Linked DNA regions of Canis lupus familiaris. The protein of the gene in region 1 interacts with the protein of each later gene in a biochemical or structural test. Links are inferred from orthologs where the notes say so. Each region holds a gene or a part of one and is shown on either strand. Other genes may lie near its edges. The genes, in order: RNF114 and XAF1.

Region 1 (3,818 bases):
TTCTCTTTCTTCATTCCTTATACTTTTCCTTTGCTTTTAGAACACCTGCGATGAAGCACTCTCCTCTAGGTTTTCTTTCTCTTTCCATCTTGCAAGGACTAGATTTTATAGGGGAAATGGAATTCAGATTTCAGTTTTTTTTTAAGATCATTTATCACAATGTGGCATTCTGTAACTTTAATTAGAATTACTGGTGTTTATCTCTTTTATTTAAATGATTACTTTTTTTTTTTTTTTTTTTTACTGCTGCACATAATGAAATGTGTTCTTGGCTTACTATGAGGAGCTAGTTTATTTTTAAAAATTTTTTTTAAAGATTTTATTTATTCATTCATGAGAGAAAGAGAGAGAGAGAGAGGCAGAGACACAGGCAGAGGGAGAAGCAGGCTCCATGCAGGGAGCCCAACCTGGGACTCCATCCTGGGTCTCCAGGATCACACCCTGGGCTGAAGGCGGTGCTAAACCGCTAAGCCACCCGGACTGCCTAGAGGAGCAAGTTAGAATGCTGTGTGGAAAACTTTTAAACCTTCACTGCATTTGGAGTATGTGAGCAGAGAGCATACCTTGAATAAAAGCAAACCTCTAGGAGAGTTATTTTAGAGTGGAAGCAGATGTCCTGGGTTGGTTAAATAAGATTATCAGCCTTGGTATTAACAAAAAGCCTGCAACAAACTTGCTTTCAGCCCTGTCAGCATAGCCAGGAGTCTGGTGAGATTGTTTGCCAGAGTGGTTCAGGTCTGGTTTTCATTTTGACCTTGCTTTGGGACTGTGTTGGTACTGACTAACTTGTGGGCTCTGATTCTTCCTAAGTTCTTCCTATCCAAGATCCGGGCCCATGTGGCTACCTGTTCCAAATACCAGAATTACATCATGGAAGGTGTGAAGGCCACCACCAAGGATGCCTCCCTTCAGCCAAGGTAAATGACTCAAACACTCCTTTAGGTGGAGGTCATCTTTGCTATGAAGACAGTGGACACTTTGCATGTTGAAGGGTTTAGTTGTAGGAGTTTGGGGAAGTAGAGGTATAATTGTTATTCTGGCTACAGCTGATGTCAGTTTTTGTGTTAGGGGTGGGGTGGGGTGGGGGGTTGTGTGGAGGACTCTGATGCTCACTTCAAGTATTAGCTCTATTATTTTCAACATTTGATCTCATTCTGAAGTGATTGTCAGAATCCCTGTCATAACACATTGCACTTTGCTCCTTTTTTGGGGGAGTACAGTAGTCGAAATGTGGAAAAGTACTCAGGTTTCTTCTGTTTTCCTGCCTTTCATCTTCCAGGAATGTCCCCAATCGCTACACCTTTCCTTGCCCTTACTGTCCTGAGAAGAACTTTGATCAGGAAGGACTAGTGGAGCACTGCAAGTTATGCCACAGCACGGACACCAAGTCTGTGGTAAGATGACCTGGACTTTGTAAATTTTCTTTTATATACACTGATCTCCTGTGTATCCTTCACCTGGATTCACAGATGATAACATTTTACCATATTTGCTTCATGATACTCTATATGTACATATTTTTTGCAGTGATAAGTTGCAGTGATAAATTGCAGGTACTATGACTTTTTGCTCCTGTATACTTCAGCATGTATCTCCTAAGAGCAAGAACATTTTCTTAAAAAATCATGTAAAAAAAAAATCTTATTTTTTGTGTTTGTCACACTCAGGAAGTGTAACATTGACAGAATCTAATATTTAATACAGAATACGTGTTTAAATTTTAACAATTTTAGGGGGTGCCTGGCTGGCTCAGTCAGTATAGAATGTGACTCCTAATCTTGGACTCCTAATCGTGAGTTTGAGCCCTGCATTGGTCATAGAGATTACTTAAAAAAAAAAAAAAAGGGGGGGGGGCGTGGAATACCTTGAAATTTTAATATTGGAATATCCTTCATTGCAATATCTTCCCCCCAAATCCTGGATCTTTGTGTTATATGTAGTTGTCATGTCTCTATACCTCGGCCTTTCTTTTGTTTTTCTTTTCTTTTTTTTTTTTTTTTTAAATTTATGATAGTCACAGAGAGAGAGAATGAGAGAGGCAGAGACACAGGCAGAGGGAGAAGCAGGCTCCATGCACCGGGAGCCTGACGTGGGATTCGATCCTGGGTCTCCAGGATCGTGCCCTGGGCCAAAGGCAGGTGCCAAACCGCTGCGCCACCCAGGGATCCCTCCCTCGGCCTTTCTTCGCCATTCATTACTTTAACATAAAGAGGACAGGCCAGTTGTTTTGTCAGATGTCCTTCAATTTGGGTGTGTCTGATTCTTCATCATTAGAGGTGGAGAAGTTCCATGAGCGATGTGTGCTCCGGGTGCCACATCAGGGGTCATGGGATGTCTGTTGCCCCTGTCATTGGTTATGTTAACTTGGATCCCTTGGTGTCCACAAAGTTTGTCCTCTGCAAAGCTACCATTTCCCTAGTTTGTCTGTAGTTGTGGGGAAAGAGAATGTATGAAATGATTAAGAAAGTGCTTATCAGTCTTCTCAGTTTAAGTATCAAGACTGGCATGTGGTTTTGTTTTAATGTGGTCTATGTCTGCAGTATTACCCTTTCCTCTTTTTTTTTTTTTTTTTTTTCCCCAAGTAAGCCCTATGTTCATCATAGGGCTTAAACTGAACAACCCCAAGATCAAGAGTCACACACACCACTGACTAAGCCAGCCAGGCGCCCCCTTCCCTCTTAATGTCATTGACAGGCTAGATCTTGATACAACCTCCTCCATAGTTTTCAGTTTTTCCATTTATTTTAGGCTGCTCTCTTGACTGTATACCTAGATTTATAGGCAAACGTCAGCTCCCTTGGCTTAAAAGGTGGTGCATAGACTTTAGTATTTGCATGAGCTTTTGTTAATTGGATTAGGTCTGGTGGCATTCTTTATTTTTCTTTTGCTGCAAATTTTAAGATACAGGTGGCCTGTTTGAGAATACCCTAGATCTTCTCTTGACTTTATTGAACTCCTTACCAAGCCCACATTCCGGTTAATACAGCCACTTTTTACACTGAGCTCCCTGAGCTCTTACTGTTGTGCTGTGACAGATTTGACAGATAAATTCCCTCTGGTTTGCTTTTCCCAACTCCTCTCACTGGGGAACTTGGCCAGTTTAGCTCATTGTGGGTCATTTTCAGCCAGGCCCTATTGCTGCTAGGCACACACACTCTCTGATGGCTGTTCTGAGCACTGTTTGCATTAAATTCGGAGCATGAACTGTTCTCAACCTTTCCACAGGTAACACTAAATCCTGCTTTTAACTTACTTCGGAATATCAGGTGTGAATTCCTTTCTTCCTCCTTCTGTCTCCATTGCTCTCTGATCTACCTCTGAGGTTACAGACTGGCAGTCTGTGGGATACATCTGACCTGTACACATTTTAACTTCCTTTTTAATCTTTAAAAATCCGAAGATTTCTCAGTCTTGATGCTCTACATTTGAGAAACTGGGAGTTCAGGCAAGAGCCAGCTGGCCTAGAGTAGTTGCTGCCCACCTAGATGGGATGGGTTTATACTCATTCTCCTTTGCTCTTGTGTCTTACTAATCTGGTCACTGTGAGCACTTGAATTTGCAGCCCTTCTTCCTTGTCCTTATCATTCCATTTTGTACTCAGGAGAAGGATGCTTTCCAAGTCTGACTCTTACGTGTGTCCTCAGACCCATAGAGAGGACTGAACTTAGGGCCTAGCACAAAGTAAGACTTCCCTGCTCCTGTGGCTTGCCCTATCCTGTGTCTTCACTCCTCTCACCTCAGCTTTGCCCTCTACCGATGCCTCGCCCTTGTTTTCCTTAGATATGCCCATCTTCCCTGGCTCCTTAGTGGGAGGAATA
Region 2 (3,571 bases), on another chromosome or scaffold:
TTCTAACATATTATGTAATTTACTTACATATTGTGGCCCAGTTAAACAAATTCCACTACTCCCTTCAAGCTACTTTCTCATCCTATTACCTGTTTCTTCTGGTATTTATCTTCTATTTCTCGAGCACCTTCTTACACTGTTATTTTCTTTTCCAATTTTAGATATGATCTATTAATCCAAGAGGATTCAGGGATATGGATTTCTCTTTCTTACACCAGCTATCCTATGCATACCTGCTATCCTATACACACCTCCTTCTCTCTACCCGCCCATTGTGGTTAAAACCATATTCAACATTACGTTATTAGGATCATGTAAATATTGTAAATGTGCCACACAAATCATGATTACATGTACTTTCTTCTATAACTTTTGATTTTTCCCTGGAGTTAGTTATTGCTTCAGTTTTTCATTTGCTTCACTTTCTAGGTACCTGTCAGTAAGTCATTCCTAAAATTTTCTACTGGACCTGAAAAATTTCCCCTTGGTATAATCAAGCACAGTAGTATCCATTTCAGTTTGAGGGCATGATGCTCCCTAGATCTGATAAATAGCTGTCATTCTGGGATTTACCTCTACTCTCTCCAGTGTTGGGGTTCTCTTCCCAAATTCCAGGTTTAGGTCATCTCTTTCTTGTTCTACCCCTTCTTTGGGAGAGCATATCCTCAAATAGTTTAAGAAAGAAAGCACAGAGGGCAATTTTTAAAAAGATTTATTTGAGAGAGAGGGAGGGAAGGAGGGGCAGAGGGAGACGGAGAGAGAATCTGAAGCAGACACCCCACTGAGCATGGAGCCTGACACAGGGCTCAATGTCATTACCCTGAGATCATGACCTCAGCTGAAATCAAGAGCCAGATGTGTAACTGACAGCTACCCGGGCGCTCCTCTTTCCTGCAATCTTGAGCGGCCGTTGGGTTAACTTATTCCCTCTGGGCATGTGGAAGGCTGCCGCTCATCTCCCTCCTCTGCCGTCGCTGCTGACCAGTCCTCTCTCTGCATAACTGACACCCTGTGTAGACGTTCTTTTTCTTTGATTTCAGGATCCTCTTCGTCTTTGATCTGTAGTTACATGTCACTAAATGATTTATGTTTCACTCATCCCACTCAGAATAATGAACTGAAATCTCTCTCTCAGATTTCTGCCCAAATCTAAAGTTGTATGTCTTTAATCAAAGTTCTAGGAAATTATCATATATAATCTCCTTAAATACCTAATCCTCCCTCCCTCCCTCTCACACATTCTCCAGACTCTTCTATGGAACTTGTGGGATGTGATCTAAGCCTTTCTAGTTCACGTCTTTCACATTTTCTACTTTCCTCTCCTCTTCTGAGTAATCTCTTCAAATCTTCAAGTTTGCTCTTTCTTACCCAAATCCATCCTACTGGGTTTGGCCCATCTGGCAAGGCTCAACATCTGTATTTTTCACTTCTAGAAGTTCCACTTACCTTTCTTTCAGATTTGCCTATTCTCTTCACAGGATCTTATTCTTTTCTCTCATTTACATCCTTCCCGATTAGCTTAGTTTACAGCATCTCTGCCATAGTTCTGTTTTTCTGAAGTTTCTGGAGACTGGCTTTCCTACTATTGCTCGTGCTCATGCCTCTGACTCAAGGGTGACTGCTTCTTTGGGTGTAGGCCTAGGTCGCCATTTGGTGGGCCGCCACCTGTGAGCATGACCCAGTTTGAGGCTGTGTGTCCTCCAGAGGGATTTCGTGATTGCTTCTGCCAGACTTCCCAGTTTTCACGTTAATTTGTAAGGACTGGGTAGTTTCAGATCATGAGTCTAATGTAAACCTGAACCCCAAATACAAGAACGGCAGGGGCCTGTGATTTTGAGTTTTCAGGAAACGGAGTTTTTATTCCCTGTGCTCAGATCCCAGGGTAGACAAGCTGGCTTGTCCCTTTCCTTTTCAGGTGAGCTGGTGCTTTCCTATTGGCCATCAGTTTACCTACAGGTTCTGAGCTCTACACAGAGAGAGGGGAAGCTTACTTCCAACACCCCTTCCCCACTTTGTGTGGACGGGCTTATCTCTTATCCAAGCCCTGTTACCAAACTGACCCCACGTCTCCCCTCAAAGTGTCAGCAAGTACGTGTGCTTTAGAGCGTAGGCCTTCGTTCCAAGAACGTGGAGTCATATGGTTTCTTTCCTACAAAGTCAACTGTCAACTTAAATGAATGTTTGTCACATTTTATCCAGCATTTCTTAGTGTTTGTAGTGGGAGCTTTCAAGTCTTCTAGTTTGTTATGTTGTCCAACTATTAAAGCCAAAGTCATTTTTTAAAAAACTTTTTAATTTGCTACATTACTCACAATTAATTGCAGGATAAGCGTCATCTGGTCCCAGAGCTTGAGAAATGCTTTCCAGTTGGGAAGCCAGGAATACCTCCTGCTCCCCTCCCCAGTCACACCGCTCAAGAGCAGACCTCCAAGGCAGAAAAGGATGTCCGTCCGAAAATCAAAAAGAGAAACAGGTGTCCTCTTCCTTCTCAAAATTCAACAAAGCAAGCAGCAAGAGGTGCAAACAGAACCACGACCCTGCCTTTGCCTCTGAGGTTGGGGCACCACGACCCCAGGCTCACCTTCCCCGCAGAAGACGAGGCGGCCTATAGCACTCTGGGAGGGTGTTCTTGCTGTGGCATCCTGCTCCCCCAGCCCATCCTAAGTCAACACCAGGTACCCAGCCCTCTGTCCTCTGCTTCCCCATCAGCCTTCTGGACAGCGTGTCCAGAAACCTGAGACTCACAGGCACCTGCAGATGCTGCCACCAGGCCCTTCTCTCCGTCTCCCTCTTGTCCATGGGCCCAGGTGAACGCTCTCAGAGCACTAGCCGCTCAGCTTCTCTGCATACTTTCCCAGAGCCTGGGCCACCTTTTTTTTTTTTTTTTTTTTCTGGGCCACCTTTGAAGGCAGAGCTGGATCTATCTGTGTCTCCAGCTCCCAGGCCAGAGGCAGCACAGGGCATCCAGCATAGCTCCCTCATGGTACATAGAGCAACTGAGGCCCGGAGATCAGATGAGTCTTATTGAGATCCTGAGTTGGTGGCTCGCCTCCCACACACCAGGGTTTATAGCCATTTCCCTCAATATCCTAATTATTTTTACATCCTAAATTATTTTCTAGTAACAAGAACAACTGGCATTAGAGGTACTTAACCATCATCCATCAGCGAGAACAGGAAGCTCTTTACAAATGGTTATTCTTCATCATGAACAACGAGCAGGCATCTTATTCCTGTTGAGATGAGGAAACTAGAGAGAAGGAGCTGCCCCAGGGCGACACAATGGGAGGGTCGCAGAATCCAGCAGGGATGCCACCTGGATGTCATTCCAGAGCTCATCTCTTCAGCTTCATGCTGCATGCCTCATTCAAAAAAACAAACAAAAAACCCACAAACTTTCATTATTTGTTGTTTTCAAAATATAAAAGTACTAGATTTTGTTGTAACCAGTTGACATAATACCATGCAAGGAAATAGAAGGGCAAGGCCACCCTATTATATAAACACAGACATACACGTTGGGAGTCTGATCATACGCATTTCTTTGTACCTTATTGCTCTGATCCCAAAA

The links.
Region 2: the proteins of RNF114 (region 1) and XAF1 form a complex in vitro, tested with the Homo sapiens proteins (2 studies listed by BioGRID). The link is inferred for Canis lupus familiaris from reciprocal best matches to the Homo sapiens genes RNF114 and XAF1.

Annotation. Positions count from the first base shown.
Region 1 is NC_049245.1:37,095,066-37,098,883, forward strand, and holds part of RNF114 (E3 ubiquitin-protein ligase RNF114), read left to right. Parts: intron 1-810; coding exon 811-917; intron 918-1,279; coding exon 1,280-1,394; intron 1,395-3,818. UniProt on the Homo sapiens protein: E3 ubiquitin-protein ligase that promotes the ubiquitination of various substrates. In turn, participates in the regulation of many biological processes including cell cycle, apoptosis, osteoclastogenesis as well as innate or adaptive immunity.
Region 2 is NC_049226.1:30,826,372-30,829,942, reverse strand, and holds the end of XAF1 (XIAP-associated factor 1), read left to right. Parts: intron 1-731; exon of another isoform or gene 732-1,059; intron 1,060-1,446; exon of another isoform or gene 1,447-1,665; intron 1,666-2,312; exon of another isoform or gene 2,313-2,324; coding exon 2,325-2,738; 3' UTR 2,739-2,804; downstream 2,805-3,571. UniProt on the Homo sapiens protein: Seems to function as a negative regulator of members of the IAP (inhibitor of apoptosis protein) family. Inhibits anti-caspase activity of BIRC4. Induces cleavage and inactivation of BIRC4 independent of caspase activation.